Drosophila melanogaster: one gene and its partners. The protein of the gene in region 3 interacts with the protein of the main gene of each other region in a pairwise test. Each region holds a gene or a part of one and is shown on either strand. Other genes may lie near its edges.

The links.
Region 1: the proteins of E(var)3-9 (region 3) and CG6701 interact in a two-hybrid assay, tested with the Drosophila melanogaster proteins (one large-scale study listed by BioGRID).
Region 2: the proteins of E(var)3-9 (region 3) and obst-B interact in a two-hybrid assay, tested with the Drosophila melanogaster proteins (one large-scale study listed by BioGRID).
Region 4: the proteins of E(var)3-9 (region 3) and CG7387 interact in a two-hybrid assay, tested with the Drosophila melanogaster proteins (one large-scale study listed by BioGRID).

Annotation. Positions count from the first base shown.
Region 1 is NT_033778.4:13,974,145-13,981,961, forward strand, and holds the start of CG6701 (uncharacterized protein), read right to left. Parts: upstream 6,022-7,817; 5' UTR 5,884-6,021; intron 5,800-5,883; exon of another isoform or gene 5,275-5,799; 5' UTR 5,197-5,274; coding exon 5,040-5,196; intron 4,974-5,039; coding exon 4,798-4,973; intron 3,706-4,797; coding exon 3,501-3,705; intron 3,437-3,500; coding exon 3,232-3,436; intron 3,161-3,231; coding exon 1,290-3,160; intron 1,231-1,289; coding exon 1,125-1,230; intron 1,060-1,124; coding exon 783-1,059; intron 694-782; coding exon 447-693; intron 267-446; coding exon 1-266. Other genes in the region: Ctf4 (chromosome transmission fidelity 4), read right to left, coding at 6,404-7,817.
Region 2 is NT_033779.5:10,031,175-10,038,716, forward strand, and holds the start of obst-B (obstructor-B), read left to right. Parts: upstream 1-1,515; 5' UTR 1,516-1,565; intron 1,566-1,714; 5' UTR 1,715-1,718; coding exon 1,719-1,779; intron 1,780-5,643; coding exon 5,644-5,899; intron 5,900-5,986; coding exon 5,987-6,105; intron 6,106-7,043; coding exon 7,044-7,440; intron 7,441-7,518; coding exon 7,519-7,542.
Region 3 is NT_033777.3:8,990,125-8,994,864, forward strand, and holds E(var)3-9 (enhancer of variegation 3-9), read right to left. Parts: upstream 2,826-4,740; 5' UTR 2,742-2,825; coding exon 2,553-2,741; intron 2,504-2,552; coding exon 1,666-2,503; intron 1,604-1,665; coding exon 1,556-1,603; intron 1,498-1,555; coding exon 806-1,497; 3' UTR 521-805; downstream 1-520. Other genes in the region: CG11970 (uncharacterized protein), read left to right, coding at 1-274; CG11975 (uncharacterized protein), read left to right, coding at 3,260-3,326, 3,412-3,498, 3,575-4,336, 4,403-4,509.
Region 4 is NT_037436.4:8,191,012-8,194,961, forward strand, and holds CG7387 (uncharacterized protein), read right to left. Parts: upstream 2,106-3,950; 5' UTR 1,998-2,105; coding exon 1,403-1,997; intron 1,316-1,402; coding exon 561-1,315; 3' UTR 511-560; downstream 1-510. Other genes in the region: MED24 (mediator complex subunit 24), read left to right, coding at 378-467, 2,179-2,265, 2,324-2,481, 2,551-3,393, 3,461-3,821, 3,879-3,950.

The DNA of each region.
Region 1 (7,817 bases), on a different chromosome or scaffold from region 3:
AGCAGCATTAGTAACTGGAGCATTAGTAACTAAAATCGATGTTCCTGCGGCGTCCTGTTTGGTTTCCAATTGAAAATCTTTCAGTTGGGCCTCTATCGAACGAACTTCATCCAAATCGTGGTCCACAGACCTTGGAACCTTCGGCAACTCGTCGAATATGGTTTCGAGCTCAGATTTTTTCCGCTGACACTCATTCCCGAGGTTAAGCAGCTCATTCTTGCTGTAGAAGATCTTGGCGTCCTGGACTGGATTCTTTGCATGGTTCTCTGTTTGGGATAAGGTGCGGGTTAGAGGTTAGATAATATAATTTAAGGATGATCACGCCAGAGAAACAAGCAATCGGCAAATTAAAAGCTATTATCATGCAAAAAGAGCCGACATCCACGACATGGGATTGTAATCGGCTTGTTTTGTCTGGCGACACTTAAATTGCTGGCGTTACTTACTTCGCTTGAGCGGTTGCCTTAGCCCGGATGCAGGCTGATCCCCAGCTGCTCCTCCTTTATTGACGTTGTTTGCCCCAGTCTTTTTATTCGTAATAAAATCTTCGTTAAGGTATTGCTCCCCAACCAAGGTCTTACGATTGCGGCACATTTCGATAATATGTTGGAAGTCACTGTTTTGGCTTAGAGTTCGTGGATTTCCGATGAGAATAAGCAGCGAAATCGGCCGCGAAAGCAGAACGTTCAACCGCTAAACGGGTGTGCAATATAATTAATTTAATGGAATAATGTTTTTTTTTTTTCATGAATAGTTCTATTATTTTATAAACAAATACATACCCGTTCATTGTTCAAGAATCCAAGTTTGGGAGTAAAGGAGCGCACAAATGAAACGATTATCACATGCTTCTCCTTGCCCTGGAATAATTCGACAGAACCGCAATCTATTTGAGACCAGTTTCGCATGTTTAGCTGCTCTTGGATACGTTGGTACTGGTTCTTGTACGGCGATATGATACCGATATCAGTCTGCAATAACTTCTCGCCATTGAGGCCGAAATACATCAGATCCTTCACGTAATCCATGACAACATCAATCTCTTTATTATTGCACAGGCTGCAAAATTGAAATCCCATGTATTAATATCAGATTTGGTTTTGTACACCATTTTATGCACAGACCTCACAGAGCTCTTCGTGTTCATCGTTGTGCCAAAAACGGAATGAAACATGATGGGAAAAGTCGCATTGGGCAGGTAAAACCAGTTGTGGAAGCGACAAACAATTTCTGAAATACGAATACGAATTATAATTTTTGGATCCTATATGGTAACTACAAGCGCTCACCCATGGGTGCCTCAGTCCGAAGATGTCCCTCGTAGTACATATTGTTGTAGAGCGATACTATCTCCGGATGTGAACGAAAATTGCGGATGAGTCGCGTCTGCACCGATGCGTTATAGCTGCCATCCTCTTCCACTTGGTAGCACTTCCTCTGCAGCAGTCGCTCGAAGAGGGTCAGTCCAAGACCCCATTCGTTCGCCCTCTGCGATTGGAGCACTGGTCCCAGTTGTTTGTGGTCGCCGGATAGAATCAAATTCAACGTCGGCGATAGGGTGCAGGTGATGCCCATCAAAACCTCCGCCTCCGTGGAAGCGGCTGCTTCGTCCACAAACACATGCGTATACACATTGTTCGCGGCGAAGCCACCGGTAGACAGCTTTCCAGCTAAACTGAGTGTGCAAATCACGATCCGATATTGGTGCACCGCTTGCACGGCCGGATAAAAGTGCACAGTGTACATGTTCGAGTACTCCAGAAGCAAATCGTCGATATTGTCAATGCGCCGATCGCAATTGGCGCTAAAGATACGGGTTAGCGGTCGTGGCTGGCTCTGTGGTGCTTTGGCGATTGCCCTTAAAAGTCGCAGTGCCACCTCGTCACAAGCCGTATTTGAGCCAGCCAGCACTAGGATGTGCGTTTCGGGTCGATTTATGTACAATTGGTAGATGGCCTCGACGATGGTCGAGGTCTTACCCGTTCCCGGTGGTCCGAACACGATGTAGGGAGCTTTTAGACGTGGGCTCAACGCTATCTGTCGAACCGCTTGCATTTGCTCCGGATTGGTCGAAATTAACTTGTTGTTTAGCTGAAGTACTCCACTGGCCAAAGGTGTATTGGGAATTTCACCGGGAAACAGGATCCGCTGAACATCACTGTGCCTGGTGAACGACAGCTGCTGAAGTGCTCGGTACTGATAACGCATCACTGCTCGCAATGGACGGAAGATCAGGGTGTAGGTGGTGTTGTCCGGTAACTGGCGTTCACAAGTAATGTTAACCCGCTGCGTTGAGACGCCAAGGATGCGGGCGAAGTAGACTCGTGGCTGCTTGTCCAGAGATCCGACCATTCCGTCAACATTGCGAGCCCACCGCAAGATGGAGTCAAAATCCTTGAGTGCCAACTCGAGCACGTTGTTGTTGTTTTCCAACATCTTGCGTACAGCCGATTTCGGGTTGCCCTTCTCGTTTATGATTAGCACATCGTCGCCAGGCGATAAGATATCCTCCACGCTCATACTGGTGGTACCCATTTGCATTTTCACGGAAAGCTCCCGCCCGAACTGATGCAGCTCCATTTCTGATTGTTTGAGCGAGAGATAATGCTGCAATCGTTCGATGTCCTCCACCTGGAGCAATGTGCGCAGTGTCCCGGTCAGATTTTCCTGGGTAATCTCTCTGCCCCGCTCGCAGTAGTTCTGATATTGATTATCAAAGCTAGCCAAACACATCTGGGCATCCTCGTGCTTTAGAGCACTCAACACCTGAATGGGTGGATTGGCTGGCGGAAGACCCTTGCTCTTGAAGGTCTCCTTGCTAGACAGCCGGTAGGGATTGATGTTGAAGCTAGCCTTGGGCAATGCCTCCGTGCGCATGAAGTGATGCTGCTCCACATATTTCTCTCCCTGAATGGTGAACCCGATAACGATGGGCTGCTCCCGAAGGATCATGAAGACGTGAGAGTCCACGAAGAACACAAGTTCACCGCTCCCATTCACCGGCAGAGGCATTTGTGCACCATACACGTAGTAAAACTGTCGTAACTGCACTATGATGAACTTGTCCACCACCAGATCCTTGCGGAAGGTCTTTAAGGTGAATCCAAAGTAGTGGCTGTCCACGCAGGTCTGATAGGACAGGGACACAATGGGCGTTGGACTGCGGAAAGGAGGCACTCATTGTACATTAACCTTTTTCACATATGTAGAGATATAATTCAATTTACTTACTATTTCTTCATCTTTTTGAGGGACTGAAAATCAGACTCGTCGCCATGGTACTCCACATGCTCCTCATACTTCTCAATTTTCTCGAAGTTCTCCTGGCAGATATAGCAGCCCAGGGATTGGAGTTCGAAATCTTTATCTGACTGCAGCAGCAGCCTCTTTTGAAATTTTAGAAGCGTAGGCTTTACGTCTGTGTCAAGTTTGTATTCTGCCAACAAAAAAACTCTCACGCATAATGAGAATATTTTTTTTCTTAATTATGGATAGACTACCTTCGATTATCGGTTTGTTGCCCTCAGCAGGTGCTCCTCCGGGCACATCGGTCGTGGAGGCGATTCCCCGCAATCGGTGCTGTTCGTCCAGCAAATTGAACTTCTCCTTGCGAAAGTCCATCAAGGAGAAGTTTTTGATGCGATAGTTGGGGTTTCCACGAGGCGTGTTGATTAGAAAGTTCGTCCTATGCAGCAGGGAGCCAATCTAATGAAAATGTTGCATTTAATTTCGAATGTTATAGTTTATATCAATCGCCGAAAAGGATTGTTATATCTCAACGGTCAGAAAATTGCACTGGCGCAATAGGCACTGTATGTATGCACATATGCATGTATGGGCATTGAAATACCAATGAAAACGGGGAATCACTTGACTCCACATATCGAATTTCACCATACGACCACCAAAGAGAAATACACAATGACAGATTTTCCTTTTCTAATTTTTGTGTTCTTTTCCTAAAGCTGTTTTCCCAAACGAGTTGCGATCCCTTTGAAATGGAAAACCCATATGCAGGAGATGTAAACTTGTTACTATGTACTTCATTTTAACGGCATAAATAATTACAATGCGCTATAAGTGCGGTATGTCACAACAATAGAGCTATAGATATACGATCTTGACACAATATAATATTTCTGTTTTTAAACTGAACTCTCAGCATTGAGTTGAGTTGAAATCCACTTAAAGTCATATACAAAATATGCATGTACATTTGTTAATGTTTATAATTTATAAACAAATGATTACGTTTGTTTAGATCAGATTGCTGCTGTACCAGCAAAGATTCCGCGCATCTGAGTGTAAAAGAAAGAATAATCCGGCAGGGGAAACCCAAAACCCAGAACCCAGATGACTCATAGACTCAAGCGAGCAAATCGCGATCGCACACGACGTCGATCGTATGTATGTGCAAATAGTTGTAAAGTTGCTCTGATAATACGGGGAAAATGTTTGGACTGGAGCGAGACAAAGGAAAGCCACATACATACATATATAGATACATACAGTACGAAATCAGTCTTATCGCGCTTTGACTAGCGAAATCGAGTGGTCTGCAATGCAATGTCGAGAATATTGAGCAACTTAAGGCATGTTTACATTTTGTATCCGATTATACTTATCCTAATATATTATATTTCATATTTTAAAGAATGACCTACACATGTACATATCGGACCAACAAAATGCAATTTATTAGTTTTCTAAGGCAACCCCGACCGAAGCTCATTTGGCAGTGCTCACTGTACAGGAAATAGGATAGCAATAAGGCATTATCAATGTGATTCAACTTACATTCGTAGCTCCCTGACTGCTGAGCTTCTGACGAATCTCGCTACTGTTGGGCAGGGCGTTCAAGTGCACCTCGAATAGTTTTCGCATTTTGGCCTTGTCCACGTACCACTCCGTTTGGGCGCTTATCACCTGGAGTCTGGCCATCTCCAGCAAAAACGAGCCCATCAACTCGCGCTCTGTGCCCGTGAAAAGTGATCCGATGTTATGGATCATATATAGTATATACATAGTATATAGCTTACCCCACGGAACCGTCGGCTTGCGAGGCATTCCATTGGCGTAGGTGCCGGGCGGTTTGATACCGGCATTGATCGGTGGCGTCGGTGGCGGTGTTGGGAAGTCCGGCGGGGTTGCGTTGCCATTGTTATTGTTGATTATGTTCTTTTTATTTTTTGTCATTTTGGCTTGATGTTCTTTATTTTGTACTGATTTTTTCCTGTTGTTTTTTTCTATGTTTTTGTTATTGTAATACACTCACTCAAACAAAAAGGGTAGGATCGATAATTGTTGTTGCGAATAATCGCAATTAAGTTACTTATTTGACGCGAACAAAACGCAAAGACGCAGACACACACACACGTTGAAATATTATATATGATATAGTATGTACTATTCAGCTGACGATCGAAATGCACGGCGTAACGTTCAGGTAACAAATGAAGAGAGTGATGCGCGAGCGTTGGGTTTTATATGCACGGGTTACCCAGACGGGGATTTCTTAAAAAAGTTGTTGGGTTAAAAAATGGCTTCAACGAAAACTAATTCAACATTAAATTGGAAATAGAGTCTCTCCATCTTTAGATTTTAACGATGTCCCTGTGTGTTTGCCTGCTTGTGTGTGTGTTTGCGTCTGCAGCAGAGAGCCTTCTGAATAGCGGTGATCAGTTCGCTGGAACTGGAAATTCATTACGGAGTTCTTTAGCTTTCTTCCAGTGGCGAGAATTTCGTAAACAACGCAAAAGGAAGCACTCGCTGCCGCAATACTTACATACGTGTATGTAACTGTCAATTTAGTTTGTTATTTAAAAAATATATATATTTATTTTTTTGATATATCTAGCACCTTTTTTGCTTATTATTTCTAACCTTTATATTGTGTTTTTTCCTATGTGTATGAGTGTGTAATTTTATGTTGGAATTTGAGCGTGTAACACTTATTTACAAAATAGAATTAAACGAACACATAACTTTGACTTGAAAGTCGTGGAAAATCCAGCCTAAAATGATCGTTTCGATCGATTAATGTCATTTACAAAGTTTGGTCACACTATTTGGTTGGTTTAATTCCAAAGATAAAAATACCAACGGTATTCTTTGGAGACCAGAATGTTTAATTTGTAGAATTTTAAAATATTTAAAAATATATTGATCATATTTTAAATAAACTTGTACCCTCCGCTTTTTAAAGAATATACATTTTAATATAAATAAAAGTATATTTTATTCTTTAAATTTAAATAAGCAAATTAATCCTTAACAATTCTGTTCCATAAAAAGCTCAAATAAAAATTTGTTATTTTACATGTAGCTCACAGAATGGGATAAACGTTACACATTATTTATATAATATATTTATCTTAAACCTACTTATCAATCTACAAACAGACTATTTCTTTGCCAGCTTCAGCTTTTCGGATCCAAAGATGACTCCAGTGTCGCCCAGTTTGCGCTTCATAGCAAAGGGATTAACCGAATTCAAAGGGGACCGGTGATCGGTGGCTTTACCCATGGGAACCTCGGATTCCGATTCGCCGAATATGTTTTCCTGGGTGTCCAGCGGAGAGGGTGTGATATCCGGAGTCGAGGGCCGGGATGCTGCCGATGCTGCTGCTGCTTTAAACATATTGGGTGAATTGACCAATCTCTTCAGGGTGCCCCGTTTGGCCGAGCTCAGCTCGATGGCCTTGGGTTTTGGGCCGCTTTGTGAGGCCGATGTGGGAGTCATTGGCAGAACAATGGTGGCCGCAATGCCGCTGGCACCCAACAAAGTCTGCTGCTTGCGTGCCTCCTGGACCGCCTCCAATTGAGGTAGCAGTTCGCACAGACGGTCGGACAGGTGGATGCGTCCACGTTTCGTGGCGTATTTCACGGCCAGTTGAAGCAGATCAGTGCAGGCAATCGATTCGATCAATTCCCTAGCTCGCGTCTCGCACTCGCTGCTGCAGGCCAATGCAAACAGCTTGATGGCCGTCTCCTTTTGCATCTTCTCTGCCCCATCCATTTGCATCAGACTGGACCGCAGCAGTGCATCCTCCAGCTCGGACTTTTCCACTTCGACGTCGCAGAGCGGGATCTGCATACGCAGTTCCTGGAGCATGGGACGCGGATTGGTCATGGGATAGGAGGTACCGCGGCACAGGACCGCCTGGACTATCTGACGTTTCTCGGATACAGCGACCACAAAGAAGTTGTGCGACACACTGGTGCTTTGCTTCATGGTGTCGCAGATGGGGAACCAGGCGTTGCTGCTCCGGCGATACAACTGCAGCAGACCCATGTTGTCGGCAATACTCGGCGATCCGGTGTCGCTGTACCCAAACCAGGTGAGCTGCCGGCCTGGAGTCAGCGGAACGGGCAGATATTCTTGTCGCAAACTCAATCCATTTATGTTCACCAACATCGCGGCGAGATGCTGCTGCGTCTGACTGGGCGCGGAACTGTGGTAAACAACCATTAGGCTGTGCTCGTGTCCAGCAATAGCCACCATTGGTCCTGGTATGGTTAGCACCTCACGCTGTGTACCCATCACGGTGAAGATACGCAGAAAACTGGAGCTGGTGGCCACAGCCACTAGAAATCGCGTGGCCACAACAGCCTCTGCACTCTCGCAATCCGGGAGGCTGAGTGACCACTCTTTGTTTCCGGCGGCGGCCAGAGCAATGACTACTAACTTGCTGGATTCGTTGGAGGCCAATGCCAAAGCTCCACTGCTCACACTGGCCAAATTGTGCTGATTGTAGTTACTAATGTGTAGAGCGTGGTGAATACTAGCGTCGTGGAACTCCACATCGATGGAGCTA
Region 2 (7,542 bases), on a different chromosome or scaffold from region 3:
CCTCCAAACCACCAACCTCCACCCCATTTCCGCCCACCAATTTTCGAGACTCCCGGACCGCGGGCTATTAAGCAACTGTGGGCTGTGCGTTACAATAACCATGTTTTAAAGCCCCGCGGGGAAATGGTGATGCTATTTTTCTGACTTATCGCAGGATTATGAATCGTGGGACATTTGCCTTGACTGTGGCCATTGTGATTTGCATTTGCACGCAACATTTGTTAAATTTCTATCGTCATGTATGTCATTTCACTTAATTATGCCATTTACTTTGCATACAAAGCTGCCATAAGTTTGCTACCAAATTCTTGGACAAATTTTTCAGGAAAAGGGCGAGGCATTTTTCCAGCACAGAACAATTTGTCACAATTATTGCACACGAAATGACAGGCAGATGAAAACCAAGCAGCTGGAAAACAAGCTCCGGCTCCGGAAAAGTCGACTCCAAGTAGGCGAGCCGCAACTTTGACAAGTTAAATGTGTTTTGGGCCTGCACAATGATGCAGCAAATGCTCGCTCGGAATATTCAGGAGCAGGAGTAGGAAAAGGAGGAGTACGAGTGGGAGCAGGACGAGCCAGCCACCTGCATGGGCAAACGTGTCCGAAATTTTGTCATATTTTTTGGTTAATTTCAAAAATGCAAATCATCGATGTCCTGGCCGACATCGGAGCACGTCCTGTCGCCTTTTTTGACAAATTTGCCAGCACTGCTCGTGCGGCAATGTGCTCGTTACAAACTTTCTGTGGTGTAGAATATCATGGATCCGGTGGGCTTTGCACTTTGCCATCCTGCAAAACCCGTGCCAGCCGATGTCGATCGTTATGTTTTCCATGGACATGGAGGAGGCCGCTCATTTGTTTGCAGCTTATTCGCATAGTTGATGTTGGTTTGCTGCATGGTTCAGAGGGCCATGGCTTCACTGGGCCATGTTATGCAAAGTTAGCATTTCCATTTCCTGCCTTTGTTTGCGCATCCCTTGGTTAGTTTAGGCCACAGTTGTCCTTCCTACGCAACTAAAAATTTGATTATTTTTACTAACTAATTAGGACTGTGCGGGCTAAGCAGTTTATTTACCTTTCATTAAAGTTCTGAGTGCCTTTTGTGTTGTATTGATTAAGATGCTGCTTCTTTAAACAAGATAGTTACATATTTAAACTATCTTTTTTTATTTCATATACAATGATTTTGTTAGTTTTTGAGTACTTAAGATTATTAGGGTTTCCTCAAGCTGCTCTTAGTTACATTTTCATAGTTTTTAAATTGTTAAAAAGTTGATTGGTTCTTGAAACCTCACATTGGAAAACAATTTCGATGACCAATCGCGTTCGATTGTCTTTAACCATCGTCTTTAACCATCTGACATTAAGAGTCTGAAGCTTTTGAAAAAAGCTCGGACCGGTTTCTCTCCAAACTGCGCATGCGCAGCCATCTAACTGCAGTTCCAATGGAGCAGAGCGAAAGCAGACAAGGTGATGGAGACTTCTGGGCGTTAAAACTCATTGCCCGAGCGATCCGATCGCACAGTTGAGAGCGAGACGTAGACGCGTGCGCACGTACGAGTTTGGTGAGTTCCGATTTCTGCGAGTGTAGTACGATGAATGGTGAATCAAGTGAATGTGGAATGCGGAATGCTGCTCTTGAATGCCGTTTAATGTGCCGCCGGAAAGCATATCAATTTAAAATATTTAAATAATAATCTATCTGTTCGTGCAGGTTTATGTCGGCTAACGAAATGGCGCTTGTGAAAATCTGCATATTTGCTTTGGCTTTGGCCGTGGGTAAGTGTGGAAAAAGCTCTTAATTGCATTTGCCAATTAATGATACGTCAATACCATGGCGTGCAAAATGTCCCTGTGCAAACTCTATTTGAATAATGTGCCGTGACTTTAATGCTCTTCTGCTTTCGGCGAAAACAATCGCCTCTAATTGTTGGCCGCACCCAAACAAACGGGAACAAACCCACAGGCCAACCTAACTACAAACAACGCAACAAACAAACGAACGAACAAATAAACGAACCAACCAGGATAATAGCGACAAACAACCATATGCAAATGCAGAATGCACAGTGCTGCAGCAACTAAGCTGAAAAATATTGTTGTTAACATTATTGGCGCCCATGTTTATGCATATCTGCAGTGTTTGCAATCCTGGCCCTCTTTTCATCATGTCAACTGTTGTCCGATGATTCGATGGCATAGAACACGTGTAAATGCCACATGTAGCATATATGGCATATAGCACTTGCTGTTGTTGTTGCTGCCAATTTGCATGACTTTTGTTTTTCGGTTTTCATACCCTCATACGCTACTCATTGAGTAAAAAGGGTATACCAGATTCGATGCTCTCGGGAAATATAAAAGTTATGTTAAGTTATACAGAATACAGTGGAGACTTACGGGAGCGATTATGTTACTACCGCTAGGTGGAGCTCGTGTGAGCTCGAACGCTAGGTATCTGATAGTCGAGATACTCACCTATAGCGTTCTCTCGTGATTGGATCGGAATTACAGCTGCAAACCCATTGGCATTCCAATTGCAATTGGAAATTCGGCAATTTAATTTGCTGGCAAATTTTCTGCTCATTTATTGTGTGAAAGCTCATTAAAAATTTGTTTGTCTCCAATGTGCGGGGGCATTAAAAATGCACATTGTTAACTCGCCGGCATAAAAACATACATATTAAACAAATTGATAGGCGAGCAACTGTTGCACTCGGGGGGCGTAAGCTGAATTTGGTAATTATATTAAAATGTCTATGGCAAAAATATGGCAACAGCTCATAATTAAATGTATTGCAATTCGGTGCCGCCGGGGTTGAAAGCAAATTAAATTGCCAGTTAATTGAGGAAAAACTCACCGCGTTGAGACAAAGGAAAAGTTTTAATTTGATGGTAAACATGTTTGTACGAAAAGTTTATAATGTGTGTGTTTGCCTATCGAGACGAACACCTTTTTACCCCCTATTTTATAAAAATCTCTTACATCTAATTTAACAAACCGGTCGGTTCTATTGTCAATCTCGCATCAGTTCAGTGAATGACATGAAAAAGTGCTTACAATCTGTTTATTTTTAATCTATTTAATGTTCATTGAACCTAACACGCTGCCTGCACGCACTTTTCCAAGATGACAGCCACGACACCCACGACGTGTGTGACTGGAATCGAAAATCCAAAGATTCAAAGCTCCCAAAAAAAAACCGTATTGTAGCCACGACTCACTCCTCCGTCTGCTTTGCAATCGGCAGTCAATTAATCTAGTCTAACCGGACTGGGAATCGAGTCAAACGGTCCAGGACCGGGTTGAACCGGGTCTGTTGACAACGGTTGACTCCAACTCCAATTCCAACACCAATTCCAATTCCAATTCCTACTGCGACTGCAAACTCCATGGCAAACTTGTTGACAGACTGTCAGAGCGACGCGACGGCCCCCAACCAAGTCGACCAAGTTGACGAGTCGAAAAAAGCCAGGCCCAAACCGCATAGGCCACGCTTCGCTTGACTCGTTCGCCGGGCTGCGAAATAAAAAAAAAAAAAACGGAGGGTCATAAAAATGAAAGGAAAATACCTATTCAGGAGCAGGTCGTAAGGGAAATGCCCTTGGGGGAAAAGCCATTTCAGGCAATTATTAAAGAATGGCTGGGAAAAAGTGAATATTTGAAAGGATAAATATTATTCATTGTTTCATATCGAACAAATATTGTGGCACATTTTATTCGAAACTAAATTTAGTCTGCTTTGCTTTGCTATTTAAAGGCTGCAAGTGGTCCATAGTTTAAATTTAAGCCATTGAATAGTTTGAATGTTCATTTAGTTGAAATTTAACGCAACTAACCGAATCAGCTAACAATAATGTCTGTTAAAATCTACAATTATTTAATTAATTAGGACTTCGATTTTCATTTAAAGTGCTAAAATTAAGCCGAATAGCCAGCTCGAAAAAAAAGTTTTACAATAATGCAATTATGCATTTGGTTTGGTTTAACTTTAGTCGGTGAAAAAACGATGCTTTCAATTTGATAGCTCTCGAATAGGTGTGAATTTATAAAATTAAAAATCAATTAATAATATTAGAGGCATGTTCATACAGTTGTTTATGCAATTTCTTTGTTTTGAGAGTGTCTTTCATTGAACTCCTCCTGCGCAAGAGTATTTGCCAACTGAACTATGAAGCTTTCGTGACTTTTTCTTTTCCAGCTTCTTGTTTGGGTTGGGTATATATATTTTCTTTTTTTTGGTTTTTCACCAGATCCCGGTTCGTGTACGAAACATGTTTCAATGACAAGCGACAGCTGCAACACCCAACACTTGCAGCAGCAGCAGCAGCAGCAACTTGGTGTTGTTGGCTTAAATGTTGGCCGACACTTCACGCACTAATTGCTGTGTGGAATTGTTTCTTTATTAACGTTTAATCGAATGTCAGCCGAGCGACGTCAGCATCAGCAACTTGCTGGCGGCATTGTTGATGTTCACTGCGGCTGCCAAACGAAAATTGAAATCGTCTTTTCTTGTTTCTCTTGTATCGCTTGGCTTTTTACGTATCTACATATATAAAGTATATATATGTATATATATATTTTTTTTGCAATTTTGCTCGGTCTGATTGAAGTGGTTTACCTTGAGGAGAGCTCCACCATGTTAACTGGATGCATTTGCTGCATGTCGCATATCTTGAAAAATTTCTTGCAACTTGCAGGAAATGCTAATTGATACTGAGTTTTCAAGGCTGTGCTTTGGCATCAGCTGCTCGGCGGCTTAGATCAGCTGTTTGTGGATCCAAAACCGGGCTTTGTAATACCCGAGAGACTTTCACTTTTAAGGTCGCTCCAATCCAGTGGCCTGTGTCGCAATCGCAAAGCGACAACTCATATACATATCGGTTGCTATTTGTTGAGTTGCCGCAAACGGGTTTTCACGCAAACATAGTGGAAACGTTGGGCAAAAAACAAAAGGCAAAAACGTGCAAGATACACTTGGAAAAAAAATGCTGAGAAGTTATTACAATCACTTTAGAGTAGGTAAATTGCAGGAACCATGGATCAGTGGTTTGGGAATTTCTAATCCTAATCTAATCTTACAATATCCTAGTCATGAAATCAAAATATATCTTGAGTTTCAAAAGTTTACCGCCATTACATTGCTTAATATGCGAAAGCAATCTAAAAATCAATTACTCTTTCTAAAACAATCAACAGAGTAGCATTGTCAAAAGCTTCAACTAGATTAGATCCTGCAAATAAATTCACAAGCTTAGCAAAGTGTTTGCACTTGTGACAAATGAACATGAGAAATGTTGTTAAAATTCACACTCGATTAGGCGCATTTTGTTTAATAGATTAGCTTAGCATTTTATTGCCGAATGGTATAAGAATAATTGTGCGAAACTGTGGGGCTTTGCTGCAATTTAATAACGAAACTATCGAATTAAATGTAGAAAAAGGTTAAACACAGTTTAAAGTTTGATTTATATTTAAGTTGATAACAGCAATGTGTGCTATTTCATAAACTGGCCATTGCAGAGAGTTTCCATCAGCAAAGTAGATTAAAACTGCAAGCAAGGACATTTTGTGTGTGTGTGTGTTATTTATGTATGGACTGAGTTAACATGTGTATATCTCAACTATCTTCTGGTCTGCAGGTCTGACCGCAACCAAGGCGCAGGAGTCGAGAGGCGGTTTCCGTGGCAGTAACAGCCAGTTTCGCGTGGGTCCTGGCCATCCGCCCTCGCAGCGCCACCTGCCGCCCCGAAACCGTGATCCCGTCCAGGAGGCATCGGTGGTGCCAAAGAGCAAACAGACGGCGGCGGAGAAGGAGTACGAGCCCACCGAGGAGTGCCCGGAGCCCAATGGCTTCTATCCGGACAGCAAGCAGTGCGACAAGTACTACGCCTGCCTGTAAGTGACCAAAAGGAGTAGACACACCCGGCCACGGGGCGTATGAGTAATGGCCGTTGCTTAATGCCACATTGACCACATTTGCAGGGATGGTGTGCCCACGGAGCGACTGTGCGCCGATGGCATGGTCTTCAATGACTACTCACCCATCGAGGAGAAGTGCGATCTGCCCTACAACATTGACTGCATGAAGCGGAGCAAGCTACGTGAGTATAAGTCCTTAATTTGCAAGAACCGCTTTACGTATGCACCGCACAAATCCCAAGACCCCACCTATATATATATATATAGTATACATATATATGCTCCTCCATCTTCTGGGCCAAGAATCGGGCAATAAACGCGCTTCGTGCTCGCACTTATTTGCTCGTTACTTCTTGGCTGCGCTTTTTGTTAACTTATTTATTATGCAAACGGCATGCGCAGCGGTTAACCCAAATTGTTGTCGTCAATAGGTCTTTGGTCTTGGCGGTGCTTTGTTTTCATTTTTCGCCTCCTGAGTAGACTCAGTTTTATTCGTGATTTTATTATTTCCCCAACGCCAGAGTCGCGCCACCAAAAAATTTTAAGCCCAATGCCATGGCAATTGGCTTCCCGCGGTTTTAAACTTGCCACGAATTTGGTCTGCCACGTGTGTGTGTGTGGGAGTAGAGCATCCTTCAAACTTCTCGACAAAGGACTTTTATTAAAGTTCTCACGTTGAGAGTTTCTTGCACTAGCGCTAGTTCAAGTGGATTTAAGAAAATTTCTTATTCACTTAAAAAGTCGCACACATTTTGTGTGACCATTTTTAATATGAAATATTGCTGCACGTTTTAGTTTTTAAATAAATTATTTGCCACCCATCAAGGCAATTAGTACACATTGTGCAGGCCCATTAGCAATTTCAATTACCTTTGTCTCCTGTTGACATACATACATACATACATATAACGTTGCCATGGCATATATGCATATAGTTCGCAAAGCATACAGCACCTGAATAAATGTGTGTCTAGTACATTGTGCTGGCGCAGTAATGTATTTACGGATGTGCAAAAAGGGTTTTACGAGCATACAGATAGATAGATACCTTTTGCGAGGGAAACTCAAGGATGCACAGAGGGAATATTCCATTTGTAATTTCCCTATTGTTCAATCGCAGAAACACCTCAGCCATCGCTTCACTGTCCCCGGAAGAATGGATACTTTGGCCACGAGAAGCCAGGCATCTGCGATAAGTTCTACTTTTGCGTGGATGGTCAGTTCAATATGATTACCTGCCCGGCTGGACTGGTCTTCAATCCCAAGACGGGCATATGTGGCTGGCCTGACCAAGTGGGCGTCACTGGCTGCAAGTCGGAGGATGTCTTCGACTTTGAGTGCCCCAAGGTGAACGAGAGCATCGCAGTGACACATCCCCGCTACGCCGATCCCAACGATTGCCAGTTCTTCTACGTCTGCGTCAACGGAGATCTGCCCAGGCGAAACGGATGCAAACTGGGCCAGGTCTTCGACGAGGAGAAGGAGACCTGCGACTGGGCACGCAAGGTGCCAGATTGGTAAGCTATAGTTATCCCTAATATAAAGTACTATTGGGAATTTTATTCTTGGATTCTAATAACTACATCCCATTTCAGTGCCGACTGGTACAAGGATCGTCT
Region 3 (4,740 bases):
TGCGACAGCGACGGCAACGCCTAGCAACAATCTCGTTTTCGCCGTGCAAGGCAACGGCGGACAGCTCTTCTTCTCACCGGGACTGCAGGGCATGAACCTAAAGCCACTGTCCAGCTTAAAAGTGATACCCATGGCTGCAGCATCGGCAAGTGGGGCAGCGGTAGGAGGAAAAATCTCTGTGACCACGGCAGCCGGCGAAACAGGAGCAAAAACGCTGACTACAAAACTAATACCGGCTACGGTTCTCAAGACGGCCACAGGGAGTGGCAACTAGGAGGCTCAGGAGCGGAGAGGCTTGGTAACCACGTTGAATATCCTTACCGGTTACACTTTCTTCGATTTTGTTTAAACAACACTTGTAATTTATCTATGTAAGCAGAAAGATCGCAAATATTGCTTTGTACTAAGTAAATATAATGGACAACGATAAGATGTCCCATCCAGCAACCAATTTTATGGAACAGTTTATAAAAAATAATATATATATATATATATACAGACCCAATAAAACTCAGATGAAACCAGAAGGGCCATGTTTATTTGCAATACAAAAACCAATGTGCTTTGCATTTTTCCAACTCTGTATGGATAAAAGGCAAATGCAAAATGGTTTCTATTTTATTAAACATTAAAATTCGAATGTAAGTACTTCGCCAACCAATTATATAAAAATAAGAAAATTTAAATAACAAATTTCAACGTTTGCATTTGGCAGGCCAGTGGAAAATGATAAGATGCACAATACTCTTACATTTTTAGAAAAATGAAATTAATATGGAATAATGGCTATACGCTAGAAACGATACTAACCCTTATGCTGCTTAAGATGTCTGTTAAGCTTAATTTTTAAGTCAAAGGATCTGCCGCAAATGTAGCACGAGATGTACGCTTTTTCTGGCACCTGTTGGACAGGAGAGCTGTCATTAGAGGTCGCTGAAGTCCTGCTCTCCTGCTGGGCAGTGCTATCTAATTGAGAAGAAGACTCTAGGACGACTCTTTCTTTGGACTCGATGGTTTGCTTCTTGGTTATCTTTGCAATGGGCGACGTAGGTATTTCCTGCGTGGTCTTTCTCACTAATGACTGGTTGTCTGAAGAGCGACGCCTCTTTCTTGTCTGTGTGTGAGTGGCCAGCACATGAGCCTGCAGCTGCTGGGCCTTCTCGAATGTGTCGCTGCAATATGAGCACTTAGTGACACTTTCAGTTGGCTCGGTTGACGGTGAAGCTACATCTGCTACATCAGGAACTTCTCCGTTTGCAGGTGGGCCCATTGGACATTGAATGTCCGCATGATTGGAAGTCTCTATTGAAGGAACACTGGAGTTTTCGGTTACATTAGAATCTTCAGGAACAGTGGATTCCCCAGGAATATTTGAGCCCTCAGAAGCCGTGGTGACTTCGGCGACACTGCTTTCCAGTGAAGATAAATGTTGAGATTGAAGGTTAACTGGAAGCTGCTCCAATTTTTTCAGTTGCTGGGCAAGTTCGGCTTCACCCTCTGGGCATTAAGTGTAAAGTTATAAACAAATAAAACCGTTGTAATTCTTCTTACTGACCTTCTAAGTGCTTTTTCAAATGTGCGTGTAGAGTGGCGTTTTTCACAGCTGCAAAGGTAAATGTGATTAATCCGATAAATTAGTTTTATAAGTGAGAATATTGAACTCACTTTTTCCACAGTATGTGCACTTTGTGCGTACGTGCACTGCCTGCTTGTGCTCCTTGAGAGTCTCCTTGGAGCTGCAGATGAACCCGCAAACGGGACACTTAACGTGCCGCTGTAGCTTGTGATACTTGATGTGAAACTTGATGCGCGATTCTTGGGCATTTGTGAACTTTTTGCCGCAAATATGGCATTCCCAGTCCTTGAGGAGATGGGTGCGGCGCATGTGCTCCATATGCGCATCCTGGTCGGGGGATTCGTAAAAGCATAGCTTACAACACACAACCGGCGAGTAAAGCGGGGGCGGAAGCGGGGCTGCCGCATCGTTGTCATCATCGTATGTAAATCTGACTATCTCCTCCTCCTCCTCCTCCTCATCTTCGGTGCCATCGTCGACCGTCCCGGAGAGATCCTCAATAGACGGTCCTAACATGCCGGACGTTAACGCATCGTTGTCTATCATGTCGAATCTGGAGTCGACTGGCGACGCAAAATTTTTGGGTTCGGGTGGCTGAAACTTGTCACTGTTCTGTAATGGCACTCGGGCCATGTGTTCCTCCTTAATGGGCACATGCGGTATGTCGAAGACGGCACACACGCGTCTACTACCGTCCTCGTCGCTGTTATCCTCCTCGTCGGTATCCAGATATATAAATCCGCAGAATTTCTCTTCCTCCGGCTCAATTTCCCGTTTAATAACGATGCCATTATGTTCGCGCTGGTACTCGAGCTCGCCGAACTGCTCCTGTGTCTCCACACAGCTGCGCTTGAATTTAATCAGCCGGTGAAACTCGGCAATGCAAGCGATGCACATGTACTGCGGTCGTCCGTCTTCCCTCGCAACCTTTGGGACATAAGTTAGGTACACATAGTACGATTCCACTACTACCAACCTTTATGTTCCAATCATTCATTTGCTCGAGAATCTCCGCCATATCTGCGACGGCGGCGTCATCCGAACCGAAAATGGGCTTCACAATCGCCTGGTCCATGTCCATTCCCATGGTAAAGTAAATTCCGCAAGTCCGGCAGGGTTCGATGGAGTCCTCATTGAAGCCATTCAGATCCGCACTGAACTCCATGGTGCGCTAGCATATATTCAATTTTTACAGGAATCCGTTCCACAAAGCGACCATTTTCCTTTTTGTTATTCTGTGAAATTGGAGGTGGAGCATCTTGGACAGTGTTGCAAAATTATACCCGTCGGTCGATAGTGAAGGATTGTGGGTGGTAGTGATGCTGGCAGTATCTAATTATCTAGATACTACCGATAATAGCTAGATCTTTAGCTTTAAAAAAAACCTTATCCAAAACAGCATTGCAGATTATTTATAATGTTTCTTTGTGTTACGTAACTACTCAAAAACTCATAGCAAGAAGTTCTTAAACCCAAAAATATCCCGATTTAGCGGATCGTCTTTCCTCATTGAAAGTTATCGATTCACCGCCCGGCCACTTTTCGACGATACTCAACACTGTGTCATTGTTTTTATACGAAAAAACACAATCATCCGCCGTCCGAGCAATTGTTTTCCTGCCTGCCCAGCAACTGTATTGAAAATCACCAGAGCCCGGGCTTCCAGCATCCCCGGAGAGTGCAATGAACCTCACAGAGCAAAACCCATATGGAAACGGGCTGCTCTACGCAGCCTTCAATCAAGACCAAGGTACGTACATATGTGCGGATGTGTGTTATTTACATATACACGATACACCTTATCGGTATAATATAACTGGCCTTTTGCGTTGCAGGATGCTTCGCGTGCGCGACGGACACCGGATTCCGGGTCTACAACTGTGATCCGCTGAAGGAGAAGGAGCGCCAATACTTTCCAGAGGGTATGATTGTCAAAAAAAGAGTGCGGGAGACTCCCACGGCCTAAAACAAATTCCATTGTCTACAATTCCGATTCAGGTGGTCTCAGCCATGTGGAGATGCTGTTTCGTTGCAATTACTTAGCCCTGGTTGGAGGCGGCATCCGGCCGCTGTACCCGCCCAACAAGGTGATCGTGTGGGATGACCTGAAGAAGTCCCCGGCCATATCGCTGGACTTCAATCAGCCCGTGCGGGCGGTACGACTGCGTCGGGATCGCATCGTGGTCGTGTTGGAGGGCGTGATTAAGGTGTTCACCTTCACTCAGCAACCACAGCAGCTGCACGTCTTTGAGACCAGCTCAAATCCCAACGGGCTGTGTGTGCTGTGCCCGCACAGCAATAAGAGCCTCCTCGCATTCCCCGGCCGTCGAACTGGCCACGTTCAAATTGTTGATCTGGCCAACACAGAGCGGGCGCCGCTTGAGGTGATCGCCCACGAGGCTGGTATCAGCTGTATTGCCCTTAATCTGCAAGGCACGCGACTAGCCACCGCCGGGGAAAAGGGCACCCTCATCCGTATCTTCGATACGGAAAGTGGCAAGAAGGTATCAGAGCTGAGGCGCGGAAGCAACCACGCCAACATATTCTGCATCAACTTTAACCACCAGTCCACAATGGTGGTCGTCGCCTCCGATCATGGCACCATACACGTCTTCAACCTGGAGGACAACAAGCCCCGTGAATCCTCGCTGCCCATAATACCCAAGTATTTCTCGAGCCAGTGGAGTTTTGTCAAGTTTTCAATACCCCAGGGACCTCGATGTGTATGTGCCTTTGGCGCCGATCCTAATTCGGTTGTGGGTAAGTTGGAAATGGAGTGGATCCTTCCCTGAGATTTCTTTAATCGACATTTGTTCTCTTATACAGCCATTTGTGCAGACGGCCACTATTATAAATTCCTATTTAACAATAAAGGCGAGTGCAGTCGAGACATCTGCACACAATTCCTTGAGCTGCAAGACGATGAGACCTAGAAACAAATCCGATTGTTGCGAACGCCTTTGATGCATCTATACAATTATATATCTCCATGGAAATGTGTTATACAATATTACTTATAAGCATGCTTTAAAATACGTTAAAAGTCGAGTTCACATAAATGTAGTTATACCTTGAGACATGATTGTGGATATTTTATATTTTATTTGAAACATAAACCGATAATCCAACATGCTCATTTAATTTTACTTTAGCCTTCATTTTAT
Region 4 (3,950 bases), on a different chromosome or scaffold from region 3:
AATGTTTAAAATGAAAACAGTTTACAAATGAAACTCATACGCTACTTTATTGTATTCAATAAATTATTTGAATTAAAATTTGTTTGTGGGTGCCTTTTCGGTGTCTTAAAATATATTTTAATATTATTTCCTTTATTTGGCTAAATTCCTCGTTGCAAAAACAAAATTTTCAAAATATTTAAAATTGGCGACAAATTTTAAGATTGTGTGTTTTTCAACACTGTAGGATGGGAAAATTATGGTACTCTTTTGGTATGATTAATAAAAGATACCTCGGTCACACTGAGCGCTGCTAAAAAATATATTAGGTTTAAATAAAATAAATTGCGTGAAATACGAGAAAAGTAAAAGTTATATTACTTCCACGGACGCGAGAGATGAAGGAGAACAACAAGATCCTCCAACTCATCTATGTGGCGTGGCGCGAGCGCTGGACGGACTCCCAGTGGGGCATCAACATAAAAAAGGCAAGGCAACCCAAGCAAATCAACACACCAAACAATCAATGTTCGTGTTTACCAATATATTGTAAACGCAATGAGGCCGGTACATTGAGAATTTTAGTGACTCAAATTGCCCGCCTCCGTGCTCTTAGTCTTGGGCTCGAAAACCGGATCCTCTGCCTGGGACAGTGCCAAAACCAGTTGGCGTTGCTTTACGGAGAGATTCCGGGGTATACGCACCTTCAGCGTGACGATGTGGTTGCCCACGCCCTCCCTGGAGCGCACCCCCTTGCCATTGAGCACCACCTGGGTGTGGGATTGGGTGCCCGGCTCCACACGCAGCTCCACGCTTTCGTACAGACCCCGTATCTGAAAGGATCCGCCCAGAATGGCCTCCGAGATGTTTAGGTGCTTGTCGGTTAGAATGTCATTGCCAACGCGTCGGAAATAGTCGCTAGACGGCACCGACAAGCGGTAGGTGACCTGCTGCTTCGTTTCCGGATTTATAATGTTCACCACATCACCGTCCCGGGATCCGGAAGGCACCGATACCATCACATCCACATTGGACACCACGAAGCCGCGATTCGAACATGTTTCGCAGTCGTTGCGATTTGTGAATCGCTTGCCCTTGCACTGCGTGCATGTGTTCACCGATGAGAAGGTTGGCGTTTTGGTCATGACCTTTCCAGTTCCATTGCATCGCCGACAGGGTTCCTTGCCCACATCCCGATGCGCCATCAATTGTGACTTGCCCTTGCAGGTCTCGCATTTCCGCAAGTAGCGCAGCTCTATCCGCTTCTTGCATCCCACTGTCGCCTCAAGGAAGTCAAGTGGCAGATCGAACTCGTTGCTCTTCAGTTTGTTGATCTCTAGAAGGCGATTCAAGGATCGTGTTCATATCGTGATATAGTGAAAAGTGAAATGGTGTTTGATGTATCTAAAATCCGTCTGCTTACCATCATTTGTCGTCTTATCCGAATCGAACTTCTTGGCCTCCTCGAGGCCCACATTTAGGGGATTGCCCGCCTGTTCAAGAAAAGCGCGCTCATCCTTAATCCCGCCCAGCTGATCGTACTCCAAGCGCTTCGTCTCGTCGGTTAGGATGTTGTAGGCGTTGGACAGCTCCTGGAAGTGCTTCAGCTTTTGTTCCGAGTGCGTCGAGTCGGGATGATAGCGCTTGGCCAGCGCATAGAAAGCCGATCTGATTTGCTGGATGGTGGCGTGCCTGTTGACGCCTAACACTTTGTAGTAGTAGTCCTTGGGCATGCCTCGGCTTTGCGGGTACTTAACAGCCGGAGATGACACCTGTTGAGGCGTGGCTCCCGCTGACGTTCGCTTCGCCTCCCGCTGGCGATCTGGATAGTAGGCTGGTTTCGTGGTCCTGAACTGATATTGACTGATCATCCGCATACAGATCCAGCAGGCAGCGACAGCGGGAGCGCGATCCAACTCCAAACAATGTGACGTCTTCCTGCAGCAATCCGTTGCAGCTCCGCTAATTAAAGTGCTTAATACGTCTCCAGGACTGCGAAATAATTTTAAACGAAACATTTTTTATCGCGTAACGAAATATGCAACTATGTGTGCTAACTATATAAGTGGAAATCCTAACTAGATTTTTAAGTGGTTCTGTTTCTGTTTATTTTATGGGGTTGTGACCCAGATATTGTGTTAAAGTTTGACAGGAAAAGAAAATGTTTCATTATTGTCTTTCCCTTGATTACTATTTCAGGTGCTGCCGAGAGGAGTCAGTGGAGATGTATACAATCTGGCTGACTGTCTGATGCAGCAGGCACTCATTGGTTCCACGGCTAATCCGGTGAGTAGTTGATCTGAGTATTTAGATTGTTTTCTAAATTGTAATCTATGCTTTTCAGTTGGTTCTTAACTACCTGAAGCATTCACTGTGCGCCCATCTCGTTTCTCACGCTGCTGTTATTCGGTGCATTGCCAAATATGACAAATTAGAGCGCGTTTATTGCATTACAGCGCTCCTTGAATTCCTGGCCAGCATCGTGGATGGCGTTACCTGCCGGTAAGTCCTTTTAGTTTTATAAGTCGTTAAAAAGCAGGAGTAAAAATAATTGTTCATTTCTATTTCCAGAATAAAATCTGAGGAAGCGGTTTTACCGAGTTCCGTCGTCCACTTGGTGTACTGGCTGCTTCAAATCTTCGCCAGAACTGTGCAGCACTATGAACTGTATGGTGAGATTAGTGCTGAGCAATCATACATGCTGGACCAGACCTGCGTGGTGATAGATCGGCTTAGCCAGCAGCAGTTCCTGCTGTCTATGCTGTACGTGGGCTGTCACGAAGAGCTCGAAATATGTGGACGGATTCGGGATAAGTACGCTACCATCAAGGGATCGTTGACGAACTCAAACTTTACGCTAAATGCACCACAAGTGGAGCAGCAATTGCAGCAGTTGGCCTTTATAGAAGCCAAGCATCTTGAAATGCAACCACTTAATCCGCCGTCAACACTCGAGAAGATCTCGTGCTGCGTGCAACCCTTACTGGCGGTGGAAGTGCTTCTCAATCCGTGCAAGGACACCAGCTACTACGTGGCTGAGTTGCAGATGCTGCAACGATTAAAGAAATACTCCAATACACGGCTCTTCTACGAAATCATCCGTGCTGGATTCCTCACGCTGAGCAATGTTGCGGATACAAGTCCTGACACTATGTGGGGTGCCTTTATGTTCTTTAAAATGCCGCACATCATTAAGCAATTGCACGCCCTGCAACGGATTCCCGGGGAGCAACCACCACCGGCCGATTACATACCCGAGTTGGTGGAGGCTTTGGAATTGCTCATCGAGGACAATCTGCTGCTAGACTTCATGGATACTAAGTGCTCATGCAATATGATCGAGTTCCTTTTGAATGACTGGACCAAGCAACAACTAGTCAATGATGTCCACGTAAAGAAGTTCGCCAGTCAAAGGTTAGTCGAGAAATCATGCATTTTGTACACCCATCTTAATTATATAATTTAAAACGAACTCTTTCAGGGAAGCCGCCTCTCAATTACTCAAAAAATGCGACAATGGCCAACAGACACCCTCCAATATAAACTTCATCAAGCGCGCAGAGGTTCCGCTTTCCGGAGTACTAAAAACGCTGTGCACCAACAAGGTCCAGGACATGGTTAATGTCCTTTGCCAAGTGCCGGTGGGCAACAGCTTCGAGTTGATTCTTTCAGTGGCTACCGTCGAGGGACGCCTCAAGACATTCGTATCGCGTCTGATCCAGTGCAATGAGAACTCCAAGCCGGTGCCGGGCGACCTGGGCAAGCTATGCGTCATCCGGTCCACTCTGTTTGATGTTTCCTTCCTAATGTTGACAAGCATTGTGCAGACCTATGGATCCGATGTTCGTAAACCCGCCTGTTATTACGCTGCAATTTTAATGAATTCTATTTTACTTCAGGTGGTCTTATCTGAGCGTGGTGACTCATTTTTTGAAAAATGGGTGCGTGAGTGCATGGTGGAAAGGAATAAG